Coturnix japonica: one gene and its partners. The protein of the gene in region 2 interacts with the protein of the main gene of each other region in a biochemical or structural test. Links are inferred from orthologs where the notes say so. Each region holds a gene or a part of one and is shown on either strand. Other genes may lie near its edges. The genes, in order: SLC16A3, DLG1, FRMPD4, EVI5, NET1, ARHGEF16 and MTMR1.

Region 1 (3,496 bases), on a different chromosome or scaffold from region 2:
CATCTTTTAGGAACTGCTCCACCTCAATAGAGTCCACCTTGGCATCCTCGGGAGTTTTGTCTTCCGATTTGTTTAATTCTTCTCTTTCTGCTGCTGCTTCTTTTGTGTGTGGTTCTTCTGTTTTTTTCTTAATGCAGAAGAAATTTCCCAAGGCCAATACCAGCGCTGAGGTGGTAACTTCAATTCCAGCAATAATAAAGACAAACATGTACCTCCGTGTTAGATCCAAGAGCTTTCCTGAAAAAGACAATAGTGCAGGTAAATAAGTTTACAACAAGGTATTTCCATGATTCCACTTCAGCTTAGCACTGACTGAAAGTGCTTCACATCCTAGAACACATCCACACCTGCACACACTGACAGCTCAACTGAAGAAAAAGCATTCCCTTCAGATGCAAGAGATGAGGCAACTGCTGCGTACTTCAACCCGTAGGGTTGTTTGTTGGGTTTCTTTGGTGCAGCCCGTTAGATTTATGCACTTTGTGAATGAAATTGCCCTTATGAATTCAGGAATTTGAATGTTTTGCAGTGTTGCCATGCTTTGGGGTTACAAGACGTGTGCAGTGCAATCAGTCTGCCTTCCCTGGAACAATCCTGATGCTTTAAAGCCCTTCTTGTTTTTTTCCCCTCCTCTTCTGAATTTTTCTTTCATCCTTCAAACCTACCACAGGTACAGAGAATCTGTCCTACTCCCTTCAAAATAAAACTGATGGGATTCATTCTGAACTCCAGCTCCAAAGAGGTCTGAATTTGATCACATTTCCTGTGCATGGAAACCCACACGATGCCATTTAACAGGATATGCACTTCAGGCTTTCACTGCAAAAAGAGCAGCACCTCCAAATGGCAGCTCAACCAGTCCTTGGAAACAGATACAAGAAGGACAAAACATCCTTCCCTGTTTGGGGCTATTTCTTGTTCTAACTGCACAAAGTCGTGTAAATACGTACAACACAAGGACAGCGTGTACACTGTGAGTGAGTTGTGCTCTTTTCCTCCCTGCAATGTCAATGGGTTTGAATTCTCAACTACGTGGAATACTGACCTGCTGATGGTGGACCGATGAGAACTGCCATTGCTTCTGCCAGGAGCACCAAGCCGATAGCACTGGAAAACTTCTGAGTGCCAACAATAGCCATGAGAACTTCAAACTGAAGAGCACCTACCATTCCATAAGAAATGCCAAAGAAAATGCAGAAGACCACCAGGCCACTGTAATCAACAGACATGGAGCCCATGAGATCTGTAAAGCCATTAAAAATCATAGCAAAACTGAAGAGGTAGACACAGCGCGGTCTAACCCACTTGAGACCAGCTACCATTCCACAAATTGGACGAGCAAAGATATCAATAAATCCCAGAATCGTCAGAAGAAAAGCTGCTTTGGTGTCATGATTCCCTAAATCCTTGGCATAACTCACAACAAAAACTGGGGGAACGAAGAGGCCAAGCACCATGATAGATGCCGCTAGCGTGTAGATCACAAAACCACCATCTTTAAACACGCTGAAATCCAGGAGTTTTTTCTTTGCCTTCTTCTCAGAAGATTCTTTGGTAGCTTCAGATTTTTTGGGTGGCTCCAGAGGTCTCATTAATGCTCCACAAACACAACAGTTGAGCAGCATCCCACCCAGTATAAGGAATCCTCCTCTCCAGCCATACTCGTGTTGTAGTATCTGCCCCAGCGGTGAAAGGGCGCAAAGGAACACTGGGCTCCCAGCAGCAGACAACCCGTTGGCCAAGGGTCGGCGTTTGTCAAAGTAACGGTTTAACATGATGAGCGAAGGCTGAAAGTTGAGTGCCAGACCCAAACCTGCGACAGAAGGGACAAGAAGTTAATCCAGGCCTCCCGTAGTGCTATTAAAAAAAAGAAAGAATCAATTGCATTTGTTCTGATTGATGACTTAAGATTAGTTTTACTGCAGATGGACAGAAGAGTTCCATGGTAACAGGTGTAAGAGAACACCATTTTATCCACTATCTTAATAAAAACCTGTTAAGATGATCATGATCGTTGAGATACATTGGTAGTATGAAACATCAGCCTGCTGCCAGGACATAGGCTGAGCCCGTTCCAGCCACGTGTGCTGCTTACCGGTGATCACCCCTGCGGTGAGGTAGATCTGAACGATGCTCGTGCAGAAGGAGGCTATCACCATCCCCATGGAGGCAAAAAGGCCACCTACCAGCATGACCGGGCGACAGCCAAAGCGATTGACGCACACGCTACAGAGCGGACCTAGGCAAAGAGAGTAAGTTACAGTTGCAAAGCTAAACCAGTTTTTACCAATGGTTTCATGTTAGCTCACATTTCTTTCCACACTCTGCCTATGCTATCAGGACAATGTTCTTTCTTCTGGAGTCAGATATTCCATTCCTTTGTACTACCATGCACTTTTTCATCATCGTTAGCATCTACTGAGTTACAGAGGTTTAATTTTATATGCAAATTGTATGTACTTAATTAATTATTGGATTTACGTGCATAAACGATTATTTTTTGAATGCTTTACTAGTACAAGAGCAATAATAAGAACCATAATTCACACTAAATGTCAGTATGATTTACAGGCAACACTGTATGATGTTCAAAACCAATCAACCAACCTGTTCCATAAAGCATGGCCAACAGAATGGAGGAGATCCACGCGGTGTCACTGTATCCAATGCCAAATTCCCGGATGAGTTCTTTGAAAAAGACACTGACCGCCTTTGGAAAGGCATAGGAGAATCCCGTGATGATAAAACAGCCAAAAAGGACAGCCCAGCCCCAGCCTCCATCGGGAGCTTTAACACCAGACGGACCATCATCAACTACCACTGCTCCCATGATGCAGATCAAGAGGGTTCCCTAAGAAATAAGAAAAATGAGTTGTTACCTGTTGGGACAATTATCTATCCCAAAAAGGCAGAACGTTGCTACAGCTGAAGTTACAGACTATTTTAGAAGGAAACATCTAGTTTTTGTTACAAGACATTGGTAGAGGAAGATCTTGGTCTACTCAAGACACCTGGATGTGAAATCCTGGTACATGGATCACAAGTCCTGGCCCAAACAAGCATAAAAGCTTAGGTGTATCCAATTTGATCATTAAAGTGCAATTGATTAGGGTGTTTGTTACTACAGAATGCTTTGGGAACTGCAGGTCACCAGGAACAAAGCCATTTTACAGCTTTATTTCAGGACCAGCCTGGTTGGCACAGGCTTCTTGTGTAGAAAAGTGAGCACTGAATGTATGACTGTTAATAGCCTTACCTGAGTGCAGGTGAATGGCACCACAGGTGGCCGACGTGCTGACAGCCATAGCAATATAATGAGATGCACTATCACAAGTTTGGGGCTGGTAGATCAAAGCCTGAAGGTCTGTAACACAGTGACCTGTTCCCGTTTCAGGATGGTTTGTTCTCCCTTATGACGGTGGATGGGCTGGGACCGAGCATTGCCCGCTACGTGCGGTGCTGCCAGTCCGCCCGGCAGGGAGCGCATCGCCCGCCG
Region 2 (4,083 bases):
GTTACTGACTTAAAATTACTGCAGTTATTTCACTTACAGAAATAACACTGATGTGATAACGTCAATTTTGTAACACTGCTCACACCGAGTCGCCACTGCCCTAATTCAAGTCATTTTAAAGCAGACTGTTGTATGTAAGAAACAGGTCAATTTTGCAAGATTTCTGAACTAAAATCTGTTGAAGGAATTAAAGGAAAGTATGTGAGCTTGGACGGAAGCTTCTGTCAGTGCAGCTGTGGATGTTTAAGTTGGAGACACAGCACAATTCCTATAAAAGTCACACCTGAAAAATCAGCTACAAGATAATTACAAGTGCAATATTCAAGGGAAGCCCAACCAGCAGCACAGCTTTGTCCAGCCTGTTCACAAGCCTCCACTGCAAGAGGACAGGTAGGAGGAGGGCAGTTAGTGCTCAAGGGCTTCTCAGCCAACACAGCCATCTCTCACAGCACCTTTTCCTGGCAGCCCCCTACTCCCTGCAGGGAGCTGACCCCCTCCCAGGGGGCACCAAGCAGTAGTCCCAGTGTATAAAGATGTTGCCAGGAGCAGCCTGCCATGAGCAAGTACTTCTCCAACTCATTTCCATGGAGCAGGTTAAAGGAAGAATACTGAAGTTACAGCATCAATTGCTGGGAAGTGACTCTCTGCTATCACATTTCAGAGGAACAGCTTGGAGCACTAAAGCACGCTCCTTAACATACAATCACACAGTTAACCACTAAATGCAAAATGAATGTGAAATGCTCTCAAATAGCACAACACCTATTTGTGCACGCTGAGATCAACTGAACCGGACAGAATCAAAGACCCCACGGCTACAACAGAACTTCTGACAGATCAGAAAACAAGGCATGAAGCCCTCCAGCAGGCACGTGGCAACCCCAATTGAAGAGTGCTACTGCCAAGAGCTAAGTTACACAGACAACCTGGCTCTTGTTACAGATTTTAGAATAAAGTGTGTCTTACAGGTTACAATACCAAAGGCCATTTCCGTACTACTGACTTGTATCTCATTCAATTAATAACTAAGAGCGAGATTTCCCAGGTGAAAATAAGAAGCATAACCACAGTATTAAGCTTCCGATACACAACTTCAATGATTTCATTCAGCAAAGAACAAAGTCTGTTCACACACATCACACAGAGGCGCGCAGATCCTCATCACGGAGCTGCTGAGCATCAACTGAGCTCCTGCAAGTGAACCCTTTCTAGAGGTGTCCTATGAGAACAGACCCATTTGAACAACCATCTATCAGGAACATAATACAGGAGATGTTCCATAAGATGCCCAACTTCTGAAAACCCACCTGCAGATGATACAAATGCTCCAAGAGAAAGCAGTTCATGTGCAGCGATGTTTCAACCCTCCTCATGTTTCCACCACAACACAAAGACACAGCACTATGAAGATGTAAACTTGTGAGATAGGCTTCAAACCATGTAACTGCGAAGTAACAGCTGAAACCCAGACTGTCTACAATGTTAAAACAAAGTTTATGTGCAAGTTACTTTGTTAAAAGGGAAGGGCATGAAACTCCAAGCTGTTACATACGCAGTGACAACCAATCAGGAAGAAACCACAGCTCCCTGCCTCCCTGGAGAAGCTGCAAAGTCAGGTCAGGATTCTGCAAGTTGTGCTCATACCCCACGTGTTTATTTTGCTCTGTTTGTTTTCTAAGAGATGTGCAGGAAATTCAAGGCTTCACGGAATGATTTCAGCAATATTTACATTAATGGCTAAAGAGAAAAAGCACCAGAAGTGCTCTGAAGCTGGGAATGAGTGAGGTTCTCACTGCACTTCACAACCGAAGAGGAAAAAGTCAGCACAGCCACCTGCAACATGAGAAGTTTCCTTCCATTCACTTTAATTCTGCTCCTGAAATACACAACTTGCAGCATTTTTAGGGATCCTTCAGCAGGGAGATTTGCCCGAGTTCTAAGAGTAAAACCACTTCAGCTCACTCATTGTGGACACGTGGGCTCACAACTAAAACATATTCCTAATAAATTGTTTAAACCCACAGAAACAGACGTGGAAAACCCGACTGCACGGCACAGCCCACAACAGACACGTTGCAGCGCCAGGGCAGAAAACTCATACAAAGTAAGTGACAGAAAACAGCTCATTGCAACAGCAACGTGTCAGCGTGATACACACACAGCACTGAGGGACACGAGGGCTCCGACAACACAACAACTCGCTTCCCCTCACCACCAACACACAAGAGCCCGACCCTAGAGGAGGGGCATCGCTCACCGATCAGCGCCTGGAAGAGGTTGCTCTGGAAGATGCCGATGACCCTCTCGATGGAGTTCCGCAGCTGCCGATCCTCCGCCTGGCTCAGTTTGGAGCGATACTCCTGCAGGAGGCGCAGGGCGCGCTGCGTATCTACGGCCGAACACGAGACTCTGTGAGCACTACACAGGTGGGACACGGTGCCCCACGACCACCCCCCGGGACCGCCCCACGCGGCTCCTTTGTCCGGGACCCCGCTCACCTTGTTTCCTGACGGGCATGGCCGCTCCGCCGCCTCAACTTGGAGCCCGACCCGGCTCGGGGCGGCGGCGGCGCGCACCCCCTGCCGGCCGGGAGCGGGGGGGACCGCCCCGCACAGCGACCCTCCGGGGCGGCTCAGCGAGGAGAGGGACGGGTCGGGACCAGCGGTGGGGCGGCTGATAGTAGCCGGGCAGGGCAGGGCGAGCCGCCACCACAACCAGCAGCAGCAGCACAACCACCGCCCGGCTCAGCGCTCGGGAATTCCAAACTTTCCAGCCAAAATGGCGGCCTGGAGGCTGGGGGGAGAGCACCCCCCCTCTCCCACGTGACCGGGCCCGGCTGCCGCCCAATCAGCGCACGGAGCGGCCCGGGGCCGGTACCTAACGGAGGGGCGGGGGGAGGAGGCAAGGTGAGAGGTTCAGTGTGTCCATAGCGCTTAGTGCTCACTGTGTCCATAGCACCTATTGCTCACTATGTCTATGAACTTATTGCTCACTATGTCTATGCACTTATTTCTATGTCTAAAGCACTTCAAAGCCCACGTGCACATCGCGTGTCCCGCAGGCAGAGCTGGGAGTCAGAGCCCATCCCGCTGCTGCCGTTCCCCATCCCAGGCTGCATCTCCTGTTGGTTTTTCGGATACAGACTCGGCTTGGGAACATCCCCGTGGAAGGGAAGAACCTCCTGGGAATGGACGTGGGTTTGATAGTCAAAAACCAGCGCTGAGTTCGGCTGTGGAACACGCCTAAAGGAAACGGACCCAGCACAGAGCTCTGCTCTGATCCAGCCCCGTTCATCCCTCAGCTTTCTGCCATGGAAGAGCCCGTGTAGATCTGTGAAGAAAACAACGTGCATTCAGTGTGTTTTACCAATTTATGGGAACTTTACCAATTCCCGTAGCATCAGGGATCTGGCACTCTCTGGTACAAGTCCACATATCTTATAATGAGACCATATTAAGTGAGGATGGACATTGGCTTCATGTGTTTACAACAACACTGAACGTACTTTAAAAGTGTCCATATTCCCCGTGGTGTCAGAGTTGTACATGTACATGAGGAGAAGAGCAGCCCAGATTGAGCCAGCAGAAAGGAGATATCCACGCAGTGAGGTTGGTTTGTTGTCTGACAAAAACATTTATTACAGAGCGAAAAATGAATAAACACTTGCAATTAAATGAACTGAATAAGTTCTTCTTAATCAGGACTTGAATGCTTTTTCAGTGTTAAGATGGAATCCCATAACGCAAGGTCATTGTGGGGATAGAGGAATAATCCCATCTAACACCCTCAGATGGCGTTTCTCACTTGTCACTCATGCACCAGAAAAAGGAAAAAATAAAGATCAAAGAAGGGTCAGGATGAAGGATCAGTGAGTCAGGAAGCAATTAGGTGGGCCCTAATGCACTTCCAATTGGGGCTGGTCCTAGTGCTGCTATTTCAGTTCCAGGGGATATTTGTTGATTCCGAGTGGTTGAACCAGAGCTCATGGTATGAAACTTTAGAATATGGTTTGGAAATTCCAGCACGTATAGAAAATACCCTATGAATGCAAACAGCCCTTTCACCAATACACTGCAGTAAGGG
Region 3 (3,500 bases), on a different chromosome or scaffold from region 2:
AGCTTAATAACATTAACAGCAGTTCCATTACACAATATGGAATATGATGTATGGAAAATGATGGCCAAAAAAAAAAAAAAAAAAAAAAGGAAAACCAAAATGGAGTATTGGATGAGATGGAATGATTTTCAATGAATAAACGTAACTATCGTGAAAGAACCTGAATTGTCACTCGTCTGCTGTTCCTCTGAAGCAGCCAAAGCTTCTAGTGCTTGAAGAGTAGAGACTACAGCATCATCTAGCCCCTTCTCACACTTCCCCTCTGTATTAGTAGGGACAGCATCGATAAGCGACACTGGAATGTCATCACTGCCTAGATTACTGGCTTGCTCCTTGTCGTCTCTAGGCTGTGTTGCTTGATTCTGAGAGTCTTCCTCATCTGAACTGTCCCTGAAGCCAGGTGGAGGAGCAGCAATGGCCATGTTTAAGGTATGCAATAGGAAATCGTCTTCATTATCATCACCTTCTGGAGGTGGAAGTGAAGTCAAATCAATAATGTCATCATTAGAACCAGAAAGGCTGAGAAGAGCAGGCCTATTGATTTCTCCTACCATAATGTCTTCTTCACAGCTTACTTCATCTTCATCTTCGGCATCATCCGTGTTTTCTGCATAACAAATATCATGCAGCAAAGGCTCTTCTATCCCTTCTGCAGCTCCAAATATTTTACCATCACTTATGGTTGCGTAAACAGCATTTGTAGCAAACTGAATGCTTTCAGCATCTGGTGACAACTCCAGACCTTTAATGTCATTGGCATTATTAATATAAATGGCTCTTTGTTTTTCTAGTACTTCTGGACTTTCATCCAAAAGCCTTTCATAGCCAAGAGTCTGGGGATTGATACCATCCAAGTTGTGATCTCCAAATATAAAGGAAACTTTTGCTCCCCTAGGAGAATCCTGTGCTTTCTTGCTAGATTCCAAACCTGAGAGTGACAGTAGCGAAGGCTGATTAAAATTTCTACTTTCTTCTGTGTCAGTGGGGTCTTGCTTGGTCAGATGCTGATCAAATCCACCTGAATTATAGGTATTTTCTATGTACAGATGTCTGTGTTCTTTTTGACATAACAGACTTTCAGAAACATCTATAGCCTTCTGTTTAGGATCACCAAAAGACATTTGAGTCTCTTGATCTTCAGCCAGGAAAGTGGTAGTTTTTGGTACACAGTTCCACTCAGAAGCAAGGAGGTTATGCTTCCCTCTATTTTCAATTCCTGACACATGGGAGAAAAAAAAACCCAACAATTAGTTAAACAATAACTTGCTAATACTGAGCAATGAACATTCTGAACAGGACAGCTAGGCCATCAAACACTTCACAAAAGTGTTCTGAAGCTTGCTTTTGCTCTGAGATAAATAGCTGTTGATTTAATGACCCAAAGTTTAACTATTACTTTTGTAACTTAGAGCAAAACTAAACCACAGCTAGGTACAGATGCTATTCCAGGAGCAGGAACACAAAACCAAATTCGCAGCTGGTTTCCCCAACACCAGGTGTATTCTTATAAAGATATACGTATGCAACACAATAATGTTCATAGGTAGCATGCATCTGTTTCACTACACTTATGAAAGAAATTCATGCTATCAAAGGCTGAGTATCAGAACATCATAAAGCTGAACGAGTACGCTGTGGTGCCAGGTCTAAGGCAGCAACCCTCTCATTTGGCATTTGTATTTATCTGGAGTGTACTGGCTTAAGCTGACTTCTGCTCTACATCTGTGATCATCATTATCACACTGCGCAATGAATACCTGTTTCTCGGTTCCCTGCATTTTTCTTGTTGGCCATGTTGAATATGGAGCGCCTTGAGTCAACCAGCAGTCTATAGTATCCAGCTGTTAAGCAAGCAAGGTTCATTGCATCTGATGACTCCATCAGTAGCGTAATAGGCTGAGAAGAATACAACCAAGTCTTGGTTAAGGCTGTTCCTTCTCAATCTGTTTACCCGCCGACTATATTACTGCACAGAATTAAAGGAAATTACACTGCAAATACCACACTGAAAAATACACAATAATTTATTTTCCTCACTACTAACATCATGCAATACCAAATATTTTAAGGGAGGAACTTATAAAAGTAGATAAATATTCAAAAGGAGGGTGAAAAGAAGACAGAGCCAAGCTCTTTTCAGTAGTACCCAGCGAAGACAAGAGGCAACAGGCAGAAACTGGAACAGAGGAGGTTCCCTCTGAAGAGCAGGCAGCACTTCGTGTGGGTGATGAAGCAGTGGCACAGGATGTCCAGAGGTTGTGCAAATAAAAGACAGATCTCTAAGAACTGTCTTTTATTTGTTTTCCTTTTGCCACAGTAAAGAAAATAAACTTTTGTTTACATTTCTGGAGACTTTAAAACCAAACTCATTCTGAGGTGTCTATCTCCCTGAACTCACAGAGGAAATAGGAATTGCAACATCCTATCCATGACACACAGGTAGAAGTTACACAGCAGACAAACCATTACAGCAGTGACACAGTTCATACAGCTGTATGGACTTTTGTAACCTGAAGGCAACTGACTGTGATGGAGGAAATGGCCAAAACATAATTTATGTTCACAGCTTACCACCAGTCTCAAAACCGCTGTATGAACAGTTTTCAGCAACAAGGAAAAAACAATGCATTTTGTTTTCTTTAAATTATTCTATGCTACAGTATGAGGTTCTATTCAATGCATGCGTCTTTCAAAAGAATTCAAATACAGCTGTAAAATTACTTGCAAATTACTAAACCTACAGCAGGCTACTTAATATTTTTCCTTTTGGGTGACTACTTGAAATGTTACGAGTATCAATCTCATTTTTTTCTGCAATGATTGACAGAAACAGACAATCTCCAAAGAAGCCTCAGATTGCTGAAAACAGTGTCGTGCATTGCTGTTAATCTGAAGAACAGCCTTGTGACAGTTAGTTAGATTTTTACTGGCTGCTTCTCCCAAGTGATTTGTGGTTGAGAAGACATTACAAGGAATCAAAAATAAAAGAACATAACTGCATGTTTGCTATGAAAATGACATTTATTGGTATACTGGAATCTGGATATATGAAACTGATAGCTTAGCATATGCTAAGGTACGAAAACATCAGTTGAGAGTAGCTGTGTGTGCCCACATTTACTCAAGAAGAAACTGTTACATTCCATACTACTTCCCCACACTCTTTTGTTTTGTTTTGTCATATCAATCCATGGCCTCCTAACTTTGTAATTTTGATGTTAAACGAATGTCTCTGGGTTTAAGACCACATGCGTTGAAAGGCAAGGACATGGGGATTTAGATGGGGATATCCATGGTTTGCAATAAGACAACAACAGTATTATAATATATATATATAAAGTCATGTTAATATAAAATTCCATGGCATATAGTACCACATTTTATATGCAAGAAGATGGGAATAATTTAATTTCTGCATTACTTTCTCCATCAGAAAGACAGGATAACAGCTTTTACTCAAAAGGTCTGCAGGCTATGGGTTTAGCACAATATTACAAGCA
Region 4 (3,918 bases), on a different chromosome or scaffold from region 2:
GGTCTGAGTAACAGATGGAGTAAGAACAGTCCCATAATGTGCTGGTTGTGCCTTTGTCCATACACTGTACTGTGCTGTTAACCTTGCTCACTGCTTGGAGATATTGCTCTCTCCAAGCCTATCGTGTATCAGGACTCCCCACATCATCAGTTAGTTTTGTCCTCGTAATACAAATTCTGTGATACAGTGTTTTTGTATTTCACTGTGCACCTCATTTCTCAAGTGGACAAATGTTGCAGGACTATATGACCATGCATGGTCTTGTCACACATTCTCTCCAGTATGTTCATGTTTCTTCCTAGCAATCTAATTCCTTTTGAACGTGAGTAGTTAAAAAAGAAGGCAGGCAAGTGTGAAGCTGCAGGCTAAAAGAAGTGTTTCTTGAAGGCAACAGATTGTTGTCCTTTTGTTACTTTAATGAAAGAATAACCTGTTAGTTTTCCCACACTCTTTAGGATTTTGCATAGCCAATGTTATCACTTTCTCCTTATCGACAGCCTTTTTCTTAGGCTTATACTTGGTGTTTGGAAAAGCTGCTGCTTGAGACTGCCAAGCCATGATTTTTGTCATGTTTCCTAAATGTGCTCATCCAAAGGTATCACATGCTGAAGCTTTCAGGAAAACATTCGAGGTCACCAGCTTAGCTCTTAGCTCAGCTGACACTGAGTATCACCTTTACAGTTCAGATGAACTGATGGTGTAAGTGTGCAGACATGGAAGCGTTCATTTCTTTCACACTGACATGTGAAATCTGCTCTTTTGAGCCTTTGGTCATGCTGGACAGGAGCTGTAGGGCTGTTCTGTTTTTTCGGGGTAAGTTTTTTTTTAGTGAATAAAACTGATTGGTGTTCTGGAAATACCATGTGGCAGCTGATTGTATTGCAAGATATTTTTAGGGACGATATTTCTAACTAATGCAAGAATCTCTGTATCCAGGTATGTAAAGTAGTAACTTGCTTGTTCCTGACAATCGTTGCTGTCTGATACACATGATATAAGGAGATCCCTCATCATGAGCTGTGCAGTGTGAAACTTGTTTCGCTTGTCTTTAAAGCAAGTTCCTCATGAAACAGCAGCAAATTAAGTGTAAGAACATGCCAATACTAGTTAGTATGTATAGCTGCATCCACGTTGTAGGTCTACAGCATGAACCTGTGTTCCTAAGAGGAACATTATAATAAACATTGAAGTGATCGGATACATGGAGCTTTTACATGCTGACTACATTTGATCTGCGGTTTCTAGAATGCTTGCGGTTCTTGCAATCTTTTATCCAAACATTTTTGTTTGTATCTCTTACATAAGCCCAAGGTGAATATAGAAATTCCTTCTTCCCCAAATGGATGGGTAAAATCTGTTACTGATATAAACAGCAAGAACCTACATTGTTATTTATCAAGCTGAATAGTGCTTCAAATTTCTGAAACATGGAATAGGTTTGTGACGTAAGTAGCTCCCCAGGTTTTTTCTCTCTACTTTCCAGATCTGGTACTGTTAAGATTTGCTTACAAAACAGCACTTAATGCATCTTCCTTTTGAAGCTGACAGGAGTGACGTTAGGAACTTCCTGTAATGCATTTCAGTGTCTTTCTCATTCCTTAGAATTCTTAGCATAGTACTTCCCAGTTGTCAGACTGAGTCTGAGGAAATTGTTACTAAAAGGTAGGACGAGTTTATTTCTAAAGAATAACTATCAGGGGGAGTCTTCAGGGAGCTGTGGCTGTTCTGACTTAATGAACAGGAGAATTGCTACAGCTTCAGGTTTTACAAAGCACTGTCCAAATGAGTTGTCCATTCTAGAAAACCAGCAGTCCCCCATTCTCATGGGGGTGCTAAAGATGCAGTGTGTAGCATCGAGAAATCTGTCATTTGTGATTCTAGGTACCTTGATTATTAAGCTTTAAAACTGGAGAGGTCTGGGTGTGTGAGAATAGTTAAAGTATTCCTTCAAGTTCTCTGGACAGCCAGAAATGAGAAGTCCTTTGGTTCTGCTTCCAAAAGTGACTAGGAAATATCGTGATTCTAACATCTAATATAATTTGTTGAGGAGAGATTATTGGAAATGGTGAGTGGTCTGTTTTGATTTTGATGCTGGACTCTTCAGCTCCGATTAGTTTAAATCCCACTTGTTTGTTTGTTTCCTTGTAACAGATCAAATGCTTAAAAGGACAGAGAGACTTCTCAGACCAACCCACTTTTGATGGGATTCACATTGTCAACCATTTCACAGGAGATGACGAGTCATTTCATTCTTCTGATGAAGATTTTATAGCTAACTCCATACAGGAGAGTGGGGTAGGCTTTCACTTACACAGGAGGACTGGTCAGATGGCTTTGGATCACACAGTTGTAGACAGCAGTGACAGTGAGACTGAAGAAAGCACACTCCAGACTGGAACCTTGGACAAGGTGGTTTCCAAACAGAGGAGAATGGAATCTTACTCTACTACCGTGTGATGATCACTGTGAGTAGCGCCTGAAGACTCTTGTGTTTCTTTAAGGATTACGTTGTCAGATAATTGAAGGCATCCAGCAGTTGGGTTAGGTAACTATTGGATCTGTTGTGGCCTGTGATGCATACACACATGTACTGTCCATCTGCCTTCTCTTTGCCAAATCTTGCTAGTGACGTACCATTGCTGTGAAACAGGCTGGGAAGAAGTTAATGGAAGACAGTTCTGACAGTATTACTGAATGTTCCTTGTTTTACAAACTGCAAATATATAATTTCTTTAAATGTGCAAGAAACCTTTTTGCTGTTCACAAGGATGGGAATTATTTTCCTCAAAAGAAATCGCTCTAGTGCAATATTTTATGCTCTGAACAAATGTGTATGTTTTACATCATTACCCATTTGTGATAAAGATGGACTCTAACCATCTGATCATATGGCACATATATATATTATGCTTCTCAACTACTTCTGTTTTATTAAAGTTACCAAATGCCCACAGAAGGCTTGAAAGAGGAGCCCTCATCTATACTACTTCCTATATACAAGTACTGGTCACTAATGTCATAAAGGTGTTTTTCACCCTTTTCACTTTAGATTTATGTGCATCTGCTTTTGATGTTGCTAAATAATACTTGGTCTGAATATATTAACTACAATAATGTTTATTTTGTACATATTTATATAACTGCACCAAGCTGAAAATGTATATTATACCATTTTATACGAGGAATGTAAATGTTGCGATATGACTGTCTCATGTTCTCCCTGGAAAATGAATTCTGTACATGCACACTAGAGATGAATTGCTGAATAAAAGCAAAACACTAACTTGATATTTAGTTTTGGTCTAGCTACGCTAACAGATTCCTGTCTAACTGAAATGCTTGTTCAAAACACTATTGACTGAAATCTTCTACCTTCATATATATGTAATGAAAATAAATTTTTCACAATTTAACAAGGTTGCAGCTTTTACTGTCCAGTCACTTGTGAGCTACAGCCCTCAGTTACCCCCTGGTAGTTTGAATAAGGTGAAAATGATTTGTGTATTCCAGCTAACAATTCTAATGAAGGCATCGGTGCAGTGAAAGTATCTCAGTTAAATTTTCTTGCAGTTCTGTATCGCTGTTATCTGAGAATTAGTACAGATCCTGTCACCAGAATAGCCATCGTTAGCACGTTTTGAGAGAGGGCGAATAATGGAGGATAACGCAGATCTCCTGGGCCAGTCCTGGGGGCTAAAAACCACCAGCACCGAGCTGTAATAACGAGGTTAGTGCAGACTGTGTGGAAATCCCAGTGTCTGGTTTAACTGCACCAGCTACTGAGTGTGTGTGTGTGTGTGTTGAGATGGAACGGAAGAGTTATGTATGGTGGATTTCTGGATTTAACTGTTCTGTTTTGTTCTATAAAATACTCTTAACAGTATAATTACGTTGATTAAATTCTCTGGGGATTTTTTT
Region 5 (4,038 bases), on a different chromosome or scaffold from region 2:
TAAATGAAGAAAAACAGAATGGGCTCCCTCTGTATGGGGAGAGACTGCAAAGATGGCTCTAGCTATCTGAAAAGAAGTAGAGAAAGCAAGAAACCAAATATATTGTATGCACACAGCAGAATGGAAAGAGGCACAGCAAGGAAAAATCCCATTAGATATAAAGAAAAATGCTTTTGCGCAATACATGTGGTCAAACCTTCAAATATAGAGGCAATGAGATTTGTCTTTGGATGATTCTGATCTCACCTGGCCAATGCTCTGAGCAATTTGAGCTAAGTCTGTAGTTTTAAGGGCTGGGACTGGAGACCAACAAGCTCCAGTTTGATCATCAAGACAATATTGCAGCATGTTTCTATGTAAATATGTATTTTAAGGCTCATTGAAACATCCCACCTTATGAAACACTCAACAGTTACAAAAAGCCATTATCAAAACCAACATTGTAACACCACCATTCACTGCAGTCCTGTCCACAAAGAACCAGAGCAGTGAGGAAAAGATCCAGATCACAGGTCCATAGACCCTGAACCTGTATCTATTTGAACCCAAATCTGCTTTTTACAGCACCTGCAAAGTTGGAGGAGTCATTTCCTGACCCTGAGGGCAATAATAAATACAAACCTGAGCCGATCAAACAGGGTTTGTCCTGATAAAAGTCAACGGGAGTTGAGTCACTCGGGTCAACTAGTGCCAATAAACACATCCATGTATCAGGGGTCAACACAGATAAGATCATCCACGGGTTAACTTAAGACATAACGTCTTGTTTCACAGGGCTGTCTCAAGAAAGGTCTCACAAGTCCAAGCACATCAAAATAATAGATGGTATACAGAGGGATTTAAAAACGAGAGTAAAAGCCAAGGCTGACACTGGATCTCTTCCATACTTAACAGAGTTGATCTAGTGTTATGACTGGAGGAGATCCTGGAAGCTTGGCTGAGCTGGTGATGGCAGAGGGAGATTAAGCCCAGCCCAATTCAACCCACAGAGCAGCCCCAAACTCTATTTAACCACACATTACACCCAGCCAGAACCTTGTAGAATACAGAACCTAAAATGGGTGACAAAGAGGTACAGGGAAACAGTGTGAAAAGAGAAATCAATCCCCACATTGCACCAACAACCACCCTGAGGAGCAAAGACCCTCTATTTCTTCTCCGAGCCAAATAGGGACTGCAAGCATCTCACACTTGCACAGAAACCAGTTGGAGACCTGAAATGGGACCAAATATCCCTATTACGGGACAGAAACAGGCAGGAAAACATGTGATAGCCTGAGAAACACCCCCCTCCCATACACATAGCATACAATATAACACTGGGGCACCCTATGAGCATTAAAGACACTCAGGAACCACAGACACATCCACCTTATAAAGCAGGGAAGCATAGAGCAACGCACCCACTTTATATGGTGTGAGGGGTCCCGTAAAGCCATTAGACACAAGGGAGCTGCCCCCGTCAGACACAAGGGAGCTGCCCCCCATTAGACACAAGGGAGCTGCCCCCCATTAGACACAAGGGAGCTGCCCCCCAGTCGACACAAGGGAGCTGCCCCCCAGTCGACACAAGGGAGCTGCCCCCCAGTCGACACAAGGGAGCTGCCCCCGTCAGACACAAGGGAGCTGCCCCCGTCAGACACAAGGGAGCTGCCCCCGTCAGACACAAGGGAGCTGCCCCCCGTCAGACACAAGGGAGCTGCCCCCCGTCAGACACGAAGGAAGCTGCCGCCCCGTTCAGACACAAGGCGAGCTGCCGCCCCGTCAGACACCAAGGGAGCTTGCCCCCCGGTCAGGACAAAGGAGCTGCCCCCCGTCAGACAGCGAAGGGAGCTGGCCCCCCGTCAGGACACAAGGGAGCTGCCGCCCCGTCCAGACACAGAGGAGCTGCCCCCCGTCAGACCACAAGGGAGCTGCCCCCCGTCAGACACAAGGGAGCTGCCCGAGGCGCCCCGTCAGGACACAAGGGAGCTGCCCCCCGGTCAGACACAAGGGGAGCTGCCCCCCGAGGAAGCTTGCCCCCCGTCGCAGACACAGGAGCTATGCCCCCCCGTCAGACACAAGGGAGCTGCCCCCCGTCAGACACAAGGGAGCTGCCCCCATCAGACACAAGGGAGCTGCCCCCATCAGACACAAGGGAGCTGCCCCCATCAGACACAAGGGAGCTGCCCCCATCAGACACAAGGGAGCTGCCCCCCGTCAGACACAAGGGAGCTGCCCCCCGTCAGACACAAGGGAGCTGCCCCCATTAGACACAAGGGAGCTGCCCCCATTAGACACAAGGGAGCTGCCCCCCTTAGACACAAGGGAGCTCCCCCCCCATTAGACACAAGGGAGCTCCCCCCATTAGACTCAAGGGAACTGCCCCATTAGACAGAAGGGAACTCCCCCCATTAGACACAAGGGAGCTCCCCCCATTAGACACAAGGGAGCTCCCCCCATTAGACACAAGGGTGAAGGGCCCCTTTAAGGATGTTTAAAGCACCATAAAGGCTGAGGAAAAAAGGGGAAACGTCCCCTTTATATGCCAGGAAGACGGGAATAGATCCCCTCCTCACTATATACACACATAAAGGGAGAACCACAGGCCTCAGCCCCTGACAGAAAGACGGGGAGACACGGCGGCTCCTACCGGCTGCTGTCCGCCGGGGGCGAGCGGCTGGCGCTTGTTCCAGCACTAACCCTCCCTCTTTTCCGCCGAGGGGGCTTCTGAGCCACGGGCTCGGCTTCCATGGTGAAGAATCAGGCTGAGGAACGGGGGGGGAAACCGGACGGCACCGCACAAAATGGCGGCGGCGAAAAACAACTGAGGCGGCGAACCGGCGGTTTGAAAATGGCGGCGGTGAGGGGAGGCAGCCAATCAGAGAGGAGGGTGGGGTGAGTTGCTAGGAGACGAGCGAGGGGGGGAGGAGTGTCGCCGCCGTTGACCACAGCGCCCCCTTGTGTCCTGCTGCTGTAACTGCAGGCTTGGAGGACCTAGGAATGGGGGAAACTGAGGCACGGAAGCCATTTTTCCTCCAACCCCTTCATCTTCCTCAATTCTCATCTTTTCTCCTCAGAAAACTCATATCCAACACCTCAAGGCCTCGAGGAGGGTAGCAATGTCAACCCCAACGCCTCACGGCCTCGAGGAGGGTAGCAATGTCAACCCCCAAAGCCTGAAATCACCTGATGAATAGAGGAAAAACACGTGTCCCTCTTGAAGCTTGAAAATGCACCTCTAAGAAGTGGGCTGGAATATTAAAAATACGCCTCAGAAATAGGCTTGTGTGTTAAAAATATACCCCAGACTGCCTCAAAATGGACACAGAAGTGGTTTAAATGTGGGATGTACCCCAGCAAGAGTGAGATCTGCGGCCTTATGGTGAAGCCTGCAGTGTCCCAGCGTGAAGCTGATGTGTAAACTGTTTTAAATGGGGTCTTAAATTGTGATGGTGATGGAAAAAAGCAGATGTCTTGGCTACAAACCCCCATAGATTCTGCCTTGGGAAAGCTATTATGCACCTGTGAGCTCCCACCAGCCCCAATTCAACTTAAGTGGTGTTTTGAGCAAGGTGCTTGAATGGGAAAGTGTGTCCTCCTTGGGTGAAATCTCATTTTTTCCTCCATTTTCAGCCCTTTCCCTCTGTGAAAAGTGGCTGTTAATAGGGAGGAAGAGTCTGTCCTGGAGTAGCAACCCCAAAGGGTCCCCGAAGAGACAGAGAGGTAATGGTTTATCTTCACTTAAAAACTGGAATGATCTCCTTTGGAATGCCTTTGGACCAGAAAATTTTGGCCAAGAAATCTCCCTTTAACAATGCTGGCACCCCAGAATACTGTGCTGGAACCACCTTTTGCAGTTTATCATCTTTATTCCAGGTGCAGGTTGGTCTCAACTTCTGTGCAGCTGTTAGACAAAATGCTTTGAAACCCATTAAAAACCCCACATACGTGCCAGGTATTGGCTGTTTTTTAGTCAGGAATCAGAAATGGATTCTTCAGGAGTACTAAAATACAAACCCAAACTTTTGAAGTGGGATCTGCAACTTGATTCAGAAG
Region 6 (4,206 bases), on a different chromosome or scaffold from region 2:
GGAGCCCAGCATGTCCCAGCTGGCCCCAAAGCATCCCACAGCACAGTGCTGCAAGATGGGTGGCATTTCTGCCTTTAAAAACACACGCTGCTTTCTGTTTCCTTTCAATGAGCAAGGCACCTGCGTGTGCCATGAGGGCTACTTGCAAGGATGGATAAGCAAAGGTATAATCATTAACAACACGGAGTTTGCTGCAGGTACAGCCTGGCCCTCTCAGACAGAGCAGAAGAGATAGGAAAGAAGGATGTTGGCACACAGTACCTCTGGGAGCTGGCTCCAGGTGACCTGTGCGGGTCGATAGCTCCGCACCACGATGGCAGCACCGGGCAGGGACGGCTCCTCGGGGAAAGGCTCCTCCAGCAAATCCTCGTCCGACTCATGGCTGACGGAGTTCAGCCCTCGCTCCCGGATTTCCTGGTACAGCCGTGGCTCTGCGTGGGGAGAGGTGCAGAGTGAGCACAGCCTCCTGCAACCCGCCTCGCCCTGCTGGGACGGACTTTGCACAGCACTGGTCAAGCAGCAGCTTGCACGTCCCCAGCAGTGTTTGCTCTGAGCAAACAGAGCCAAATTGCAAGCTACAAGTACGGCTGCGCCCTCCCCAGCAAGCAGGAGTGCAGGGGCACACGTGCAGCAAAGGGACTGGAAAAGGGAGAATACATGACAGCACAGAGGGGGGGCCATGGGGTGAGGACATGCAGCACTCACGGTCCTTGAATGAGCCTCCGTGCTTCTGCACCCGCTTCCGGCCGAGGGATTTCTGCAGGAGGAAGAAGAGGAGCTGCCACTGTGCTGCAGAGCTCACACCATGAGTCCCAGTGCCAGCAGCTGCATTCAGTTCCCTTGAGAAGGGTTGCAGCCTGCACACAGTGCCCTGCTCCCCCAGCAGTGACTCAGCTCCAGCCTAACCCCAGTGTTATCGGGGTGACCATCTCAGCAAGCTTTGCCACTGCTCGCTGCTGTTCCCATCTGTCTGCCCCACACCTGGACTTTGCCTGCCCGGCGCCTGGGTGCTGGCAGTGCTGCTTTGCCCACACCCACGCACTACCCGCAGGAGCCAGCCCATATTCCATACCTTCTGTGGACCTAAGAGGCTGCTGGTGACAGGCAGACTCCCAGGCTTGGCTCACCAGGCTCAGCCAGCCCCACCAGGTGCAGAGCAAAAGATGCAGCTCAGCCCACCCTGTCCCCATCCCCACCAGGCTCCATCCCTGCACCAAACCCACCTTGCTCCTGCCAGGGCTGCGGGCAGGAGGAGCGCTCCCCTCCTCCGCCAATGGTTTCAGTGTGGGGACGGTGCTCACAGGCTCCATCTCCATTCCTGTGCCCTTCATGGCTGCACGGTACGACATGTTCCTCAGGTTGCGTTTTAACATCCCTCCTCCATCCTCCGTGTCCTCCTGCAGTGTGATGCTGGGGACAGATGCTCTCTTCTGCCCTGAGCACGCAGCTTCAGGGCTGGATCCAGTGCTGGGGTTCCGCGTGGGGTTCTTGGTCTTGGTGGAGACCGCCAGGCTCCGTGGGATGAGCTGCTGTGTGCCCACCTTCAGCGCAGCCGGGCTGTCGGTGCTCAGCACGATGCGACGTGGCTCAGCCAGGGGGAAGCAGCCCATGGTGGGGTCAGGATTGCGCTTGCCTGGAGGAGAGGTTGGTGCTGGGGGTCCGGAGCGCAGCGGGTGGCAGCGATACTCCAGGAGGAAGGTCTGGTCATCAGCTGGTGGGCTGTGGGACATGGCAGCGGTGCAGGGAGCGGAGAGCTGTGCAAGAGACAGACAGTCAGATGGATGGACAGGGAATGAGCACTTTCCCCTGCTAAGGCTGAGGGTACAGGCATGGCACAGCTCACAGCGCTGGGTGGGAGCCTGGAGGAGCCCACACTGACCATCACTGTACTGCTGGGGACCCCACACGGCTCTATTGGGCACTGATCCTGACAGACCCCAAAGCCCGGGGGCAGACCGGCCGATGGGTGCTCAGCCTCAGCTCCCTCTGGGTGTCCCCAGAGCCCCTCCAGCTCTCGGCTCCATTGCTCCTTGTTAGGAGCTAAGCTTGCCCACCCCCTTCTGAGCCACACAGCACCCTGAGCCCCCCCTGGATAAACACCACATACATCATTCTGCTGCTCTATTGCATAACTCGAATTAAAACTCGGCTTTAATTACTACAAACTGAGATCCCATTGTCCACCACGTCTGAGCTGCTCCCTTCCAAAGGCCACGGGGAGCAGAGCACAGCCCGGACCGGGACCCATCTCCTGGCACAGGGACAAAGCAGCGCATCGACAAAAGCCCCAATGATCCGGGGCGCTTCTATTTCCCTGCGTTAAGGGCAGGGGGGGGTCAGACGGTTCCTCCTTTCCCCCTCCCTAAACTGCAGACACAGCCCCATCCCCATCAAAGGACCCGGAAGGATTTGAAAAGAGCCCCCCAGGTGCACCCCATGGAGCCCCTCCCCGCCCCATACCTCGGCTGTTTCGCAGCTGCAGGCGGTGCTGGGAACCCCCGACGGATCCACCCCCGTGTGCGGGGCGGACGGAGCTGCGGGACGGGACGGGAATTCCTCCGGGTGGGGCCGGGGGTAAAGGGGCCGCAGGGCTGAGGCTGGAGGGGACCGCTCCGCCCCGAGGGTTAAGGCCGGTCCCGGTTCTGAGCTTAATTTCGGTCCTGCTTCCCCCCCGGGGGTCCCCGTGCCCACCCCGGCCGCAGCCCCGCACCTACCGGGGCCCCGGAGCGAGGGAGGAGAGGGGCTGGGCCATAAAGGGGGCATGGCCATATAGAGGGGGCGGGGTCACCCCACGGAGGGGGCGGGGGCAAGAGCTCAGCTCACCTCCAGCTGTTGTCCCCGTGTCCGTCTGTGTCGGGTCGGGGTGATGATGGACGAGCCGAAAAGAGATGTAAATTCGATTTAAAAAGACATCAGGGTCAGCTGTTCCCTCCCCCCTATTGCTCTTCAAGGCAGCCGAGCAGCCTCGGGTGTGCAGCCGGGCCCAGCCCGTGTTGATGGGAGCTGCCCCGGTGCCCCCCTGGGGCTGGGGGTGTCCCCTGGTGTCCCCTCTATCAGATCTGTGCTATCAAATGTCCTGGGAACCACCTTTCCCCTGACCTCCCCCTTTTGCCCCCGCTCTGATTCTGTTCCCCATTAAAAAGGAGCCTTTTTCTCCCTGCTTTATGGCGGATCTCAAGTGCTCGCTGGATGACAAAGTCCCACTTGTCAGCGGTGCCCTGTAACAGCTCCATCCCCCTCCCCAAACCCTGCCCGACAATCAGCCCATTATCAGCACTCCCTTACCCGATGGATGCTCCTCCAGTTCCAAGAGCCACGAAGCTGCTGCACTCGGCTGAGCCCCAAACCATCCCACGAAGCACTGAATGTGATCCATCCTCCAGCCATCACGCCGACCTCCTGAAGCAGAGAGCATGAAATCAGCTTGGCAGCACACACCATTGGCCCCAAAGCCCCGCTGTGCTCAGCCCCATCCTTCCTTACCTTGCAGCAAAGCATCCACCGATCTCACGCCGAAACAAAGCTCACGGGACCACGGCTTATAAAAGCACACAGGTTTATTGCATATCAATCTCATGTATAAATTCATCGTAGCATTGGAAAGATTACATTTGGTATACATTCCTATTCTACAGCATTAACCTCAAAATCAGCTTTTTCCTAGGCATTATTTCAAAGGAATTTCTCTACACGAGTACGTTTTGTCTTTTTATCACAAGCATCAAAAGGAACTCTGCAAAAAAAAACCCAAAAAAACAAACCTCTTCAAATTATTTTCTACACTTTGCCTCTCGTTTCATTGCGCGCCCAACAAAACCATTTCATCTCCATTAAGAACTGCCAACGTTTTCCTTTCTGTCCATCTTTCGGGGCAGTTGGAGGCTTCTGGCCTCGGATTCAACCATCTACTCACATATACAATAAGTGCATCTACGGGATTTGTTTCTCTTTTCATAAAAATCTCACAGACAGACACCATAATGACCGCTAAACACAAGTCATGCACCGTTTACTTATAAACATAACAGAAGCAATATACAATCAAGAATGATATGGAACAAGCACCATCCTCTTTTCTCAATGTTTTTTAAACATTATGTGAAAACCAGACATTTACAATTGATTTTTTTTTCCTTAAAAAAAAAACAAACCCCAAAACAACACTATACAGCCCTAAAGGAAAAAACCCAACTCCATTATATCCGT
Region 7 (3,500 bases), on a different chromosome or scaffold from region 2:
TGTGATTCTATGATTCTATGAAATTCTGACTTGAGAATTTTACATAGAGGAGGAAATTCCTGGTGGTAAATCTGCAGTATTACATTCTAGACTTCTGCAGATATTCACTCCTTTGGTGGAAATGAAGAAATGTTTTCATTTGTCCTAAAAATGTGTCTCCTAAGATGCTCGTTCTCATGGCAAGGGGGGAAATGCTGCTTATAACATTTTCTTCGAGTCATTAAAGTTTGTTTATTCTCTTAAATGTTCATCATTCCGTATCTGTGTTTTAAACCTTCTCATTCTGATGGAAAAGTTATTTTGACACATGAAGCAGTTGCCATATGTAGTCCTATCATGAATATGATTGAAGGACGTTTTCCATCTGAATAGATAGCAGCCCATACACTTCTATATTGATTTCTTCCCATCTGATTTTTGAAGTACTACGGATTAAGATGCATTCTGAGTAATCTGTGTGCTTTCAGATTTTCCATGTGTTTATTCTAGAGTGCGTCAGGTAACCTCTGCTTTTGAATGTAATGTGTGGTGGTATCAGAGGAATAACGCTTCTTTCAGTGTGGATATCCAGAATTTACTTTCTAATATAGAAAGAAGAGGGATTAAAAGATCACTGTATGTAGCCAATGCTAAACTTAAGGGGTGAGATGAAGAAAAATGGCATAACTTGGGTAAAAAGTATAAGAAACATTTAAAATATATCTGTGTTTATTATCCACCTCACTGCATGTTAGAACTGAAGCTCTTAAGCATCATAGAGGAATAAAGCTTATTCTGTTAGATAGGGCTCCTCACAATGAATTGCTTTGTGTCACCAGTTTCACACTAGCTAACATTTCTGTGCTTGCAACCCTGTGTACTTGCATGATGAATGTAAGGTTTGTCTCAGAAGACTATGAAGAAGCATGTAGGTGAAGTGTATTATTGCAATGGAAGTTAAGGAAACCTCTTACTTTTCCTGAAAATAATCACTAAATAAGAGGGGAAAAAAAATCTTATCTAAGTGTTTTGGCTATTTCTTATTTGTTTCTTCCTTTCCTGCTGCTTAAAATACAGCTTAAAATCTTTTTACCTTTTTTGTTGTTTTTATTTAAGTTTCCTGCAGCCTTTGAATTCAACGAGTTATTTTTGATCACCATTCTGGATCACCTTTATAGCTGTCTGTTTGGGACTTTCTTATGCAACTGTGAAAAGGAAAGGCTAAAAGAGGTAAATGATTGATGACATACGCATCCTAATTTGTTGGCTTTGTGTGGAAGTGCTTAGGACATACGGCCCAAAAAAACTTAAGCTGTGTTTTTGGATACAACTGCTGTGTAGTCTTTGAGGGCATGACGGACATGTAATTCCATGGAATACATCATGAATGCTTTTTTGTTTGTGGCACTTCACGTTTGCGTTAGAGCCAGTAGCAACACCTTGGCAGTTAGATCTGTTTATTTCAGGTTTGTCTCTGCTTCCGTAGAGGAAAAAGTTGCACACAGACACCACAAGGTGGAGCTGAATAACATATTCTCAGCAAATGCAGGCTTTCCCAACATCTTTCTTAATAAATTAGTCGTATGCAGTTCTCAATAAAGAAATGCAGTTTTGAGACATAGAGGTAGCAGAAGCACATGCTTAACCTCATTGTAGGGGTGTAAAATCACAAGATGAATGTAATTGAGATTCACGTTTTGAAACCTTGATTTTTCTTTTCAAGGCTAACTTATTTTTAAATCGTTTTGAAGTGGTCAACATATAATTGTAGATTTAAGGAGCTACAGACGTTGCAGTAAGTTACAACCAAGACAGCTTTCTCTTCCTCAACTAGAACTCGGTGTCTTTGAAAATGTTATACCTGAATCTCCCTTCTCATTTAGCCTTGGAAGGGAACAAGGTTTCAATGTTTTGCTGGAGTTTTAAGCCGGTTTAGTCATCAGCAGGTGTAATTACAGTCAGCTAATACAGGACAGTGTAATTACAGTCAGGTGACTTTCACAATGATACTGATAGCTAGATAATAACCTCACGTTTCAACATTTTGCAATCCATGTACTTATTTTTCTGTATTTTTTTTAATTCAGGAGTTAAGCACCAGGACTGTATCGCTGTGGTCCTACATAAACAGCCAGTTAGATGAATTCACAAATCCTTTCTATGTCAACTATGAGAACCACGTCCTGTATCCTGTTGCCAGTCTGAACCATTTGGAACTGTGGGTCAGCTACTACGTCAGATGGAACCCAAGGATGCGGCCTCAGGTACGAGGTTCTACTTTTATGTTTCCCTGAAAGTACAGAGGTATAATTACTGTTTTCTATAAGGTCCAATTCATCCAGGAAAAGTATTCTTGTCTGTTGCTGATGGGGGGAAGAAAGATGTTTTTTCTAAAACAAGGCTTGAGATAGATATTAAAACAGTGCAAGATGTTCAGTATTCATTAAGCCCACCAGTGGAATATAGTAGTAGTATCCCTTTACTGAATTGTGAAAGGTGACATAGGCATTCTTTCCTTTCAGAAGATTACTTTTACAACACTTATGTAATATTTTACAACACTTCCAGTGCATCTGTTGCATTAACCTTCTTGTGCAGTTTAGTGTAGCTTTGATTATGTTTTGCTGCTCAGCAATTATGTTATAAAACACAACAGCAGTTTCTTAAAGGAATTGTCTACATACCAACTCATTTGCGGACTCTTTAAGCTTTCTTACAGATATTTGTTTTTTCACTGACCTTTCTGTTTTCAGGCTGGCATGCTAAAGATTAAACGCTCCTGTAGTGTGTTCCTGGATTCATCCAGGATTTGTTCTTATAAGTAATGTCTCCTATTCAGACAAATCTCTAAGTCTCATCAGAAAAATGCTGTGTTTTATCTTCAGAATTCTGAGAGTGTACGTTATGTTTGTTTCACAGCCGTGATATATCTGAGGATGTTACTCTGTCTCTTTATTAAGGTAACATTTCAAGGTATCCCCAAGCGACTTAATGATAAATTACCTGCATTGAGTGACTGTTTGAAAGCTGCTTTCATCTTCTAACAGTTAGCAAGAGACACGAGTTTCAGATTTATTAGACACCCACAAGTCAGAGCCTGTTTAAAAAGATGTGTTTCAAGGACAGTACGCTGTTAGAGATCCAAGCATCTGAGCAATACCCTGTAAGGTACTGGAGAAATGTGGGTTGCTTGCTTGCTCACTGAGGTATTTCCTCTGAACTTCCCTGTTGCCCCACATTTTACTCTGTTTTCTTGATGTAGTCCTTTGTTAGGTATCCAGAAAATCTGAGGTTAAATGTGGGTGGGTTCTGTGGATTCCTTTTTATGCTAAACTCTGCTTCAACAAGGTCATTCTAATTCTTAAGTGAAGTGAAATGTTCCTCGGTTTTGGTTTGGCGGTGTTACATCATTATTGACTTCTTGTCCTAAGAAAATTAGATTTCAGTCCTGTTGTATTTGAATTCATTGACTGGGAGGAGGCATAGGTGGTTTTTTGTTTTTCCTTCTGGGTTTTTACTTA

What was found.
Region 1: the proteins of DLG1 (region 2) and SLC16A3 interact in a test that uses a peptide from one of them, tested with the Homo sapiens proteins (2 studies listed by IntAct, with this or other methods). The link is inferred for Coturnix japonica from reciprocal best matches to the Homo sapiens genes DLG1 and SLC16A3.
Region 3: the proteins of DLG1 (region 2) and FRMPD4 interact in a test that uses a peptide from one of them, tested with the Homo sapiens proteins (2 studies listed by IntAct, with this or other methods). The link is inferred for Coturnix japonica from reciprocal best matches to the Homo sapiens genes DLG1 and FRMPD4.
Region 4: the proteins of DLG1 (region 2) and EVI5 interact in a test that uses a peptide from one of them, tested with the Homo sapiens proteins (2 studies listed by IntAct, with this or other methods). The link is inferred for Coturnix japonica from reciprocal best matches to the Homo sapiens genes DLG1 and EVI5.
Region 5: the proteins of DLG1 (region 2) and NET1 form a complex in vitro, tested with the Homo sapiens proteins (3 studies listed by BioGRID and IntAct, with this or other methods). The link is inferred for Coturnix japonica from reciprocal best matches to the Homo sapiens genes DLG1 and NET1.
Region 6: the proteins of DLG1 (region 2) and ARHGEF16 interact in a test that uses a peptide from one of them, tested with the Homo sapiens proteins (2 studies listed by IntAct, with this or other methods). The link is inferred for Coturnix japonica from reciprocal best matches to the Homo sapiens genes DLG1 and ARHGEF16.
Region 7: the proteins of DLG1 (region 2) and MTMR1 interact in a test that uses a peptide from one of them, tested with the Homo sapiens proteins (2 studies listed by IntAct, with this or other methods). The link is inferred for Coturnix japonica from reciprocal best matches to the Homo sapiens genes DLG1 and MTMR1.

The regions. Positions count from the first base shown.
Region 1 is NC_029533.1:4,252,907-4,256,402, forward strand, and holds part of SLC16A3 (monocarboxylate transporter 4), read right to left. Parts: intron 3,488-3,496; exon of another isoform or gene 3,257-3,487; intron 2,852-3,256; 5' UTR 2,831-2,851; coding exon 2,608-2,830; intron 2,240-2,607; coding exon 2,096-2,239; intron 1,814-2,095; coding exon 1,046-1,813; intron 238-1,045; coding exon 1-237. UniProt on the Homo sapiens protein: Proton-dependent transporter of monocarboxylates such as L-lactate and pyruvate. Plays a predominant role in L-lactate efflux from highly glycolytic cells.
Region 2 is NC_029524.1:10,829,498-10,833,580, forward strand, and holds the start of DLG1 (disks large homolog 1), read right to left. Parts: upstream 2,801-4,083; 5' UTR 2,518-2,800; coding exon 2,499-2,517; intron 2,427-2,498; exon of another isoform or gene 2,390-2,426; coding exon 2,258-2,389; intron 1-2,257. UniProt on the Homo sapiens protein: Essential multidomain scaffolding protein required for normal development. Recruits channels, receptors and signaling molecules to discrete plasma membrane domains in polarized cells.
Region 3 is NC_029516.1:111,279,105-111,282,604, forward strand, and holds part of FRMPD4 (FERM and PDZ domain-containing protein 4), read right to left. Parts: intron 1,897-3,500; coding exon 1,758-1,896; intron 1,217-1,757; coding exon 161-1,216; intron 1-160. UniProt on the Homo sapiens protein: Positive regulator of dendritic spine morphogenesis and density. Required for the maintenance of excitatory synaptic transmission. Binds phosphatidylinositol 4,5-bisphosphate.
Region 4 is NC_029523.1:12,241,728-12,245,645, forward strand, and holds the end of EVI5 (ecotropic viral integration site 5 protein homolog), read left to right. Parts: intron 1-2,151; coding exon 2,152-2,457; 3' UTR 2,458-3,418; downstream 3,419-3,918. UniProt on the Homo sapiens protein: Functions as a regulator of cell cycle progression by stabilizing the FBXO5 protein and promoting cyclin-A accumulation during interphase. May play a role in cytokinesis.
Region 5 is NC_029516.1:1,180,296-1,184,333, forward strand, and holds the start of NET1 (neuroepithelial cell-transforming gene 1 protein), read right to left. Parts: upstream 2,801-4,038; 5' UTR 2,734-2,800; coding exon 2,633-2,733; intron 1-2,632. UniProt on the Homo sapiens protein: Acts as a guanine nucleotide exchange factor (GEF) for RhoA GTPase. May be involved in activation of the SAPK/JNK pathway Stimulates genotoxic stress-induced RHOB activity in breast cancer cells leading to their cell death.
Region 6 is NC_029536.1:866,203-870,408, forward strand, and holds the start of ARHGEF16 (rho guanine nucleotide exchange factor 16), read right to left. Parts: upstream 2,801-4,206; 5' UTR 2,770-2,800; coding exon 2,461-2,769; intron 1,755-2,460; coding exon 1,224-1,754; intron 758-1,223; coding exon 706-757; intron 432-705; coding exon 262-431; intron 1-261. UniProt on the Homo sapiens protein: Guanyl-nucleotide exchange factor of the RHOG GTPase stimulating the exchange of RHOG-associated GDP for GTP. May play a role in chemotactic cell migration by mediating the activation of RAC1 by EPHA2.
Region 7 is NC_029519.1:16,417,385-16,420,884, reverse strand, and holds part of MTMR1 (myotubularin-related protein 1), read left to right. Parts: intron 1-1,095; coding exon 1,096-1,209; intron 1,210-2,066; coding exon 2,067-2,243; intron 2,244-3,500. UniProt on the Homo sapiens protein: Lipid phosphatase that specifically dephosphorylates the D-3 position of phosphatidylinositol 3-phosphate, generating phosphatidylinositol. Could also dephosphorylate phosphatidylinositol 3,5-bisphosphate to produce phosphatidylinositol 5-phosphate.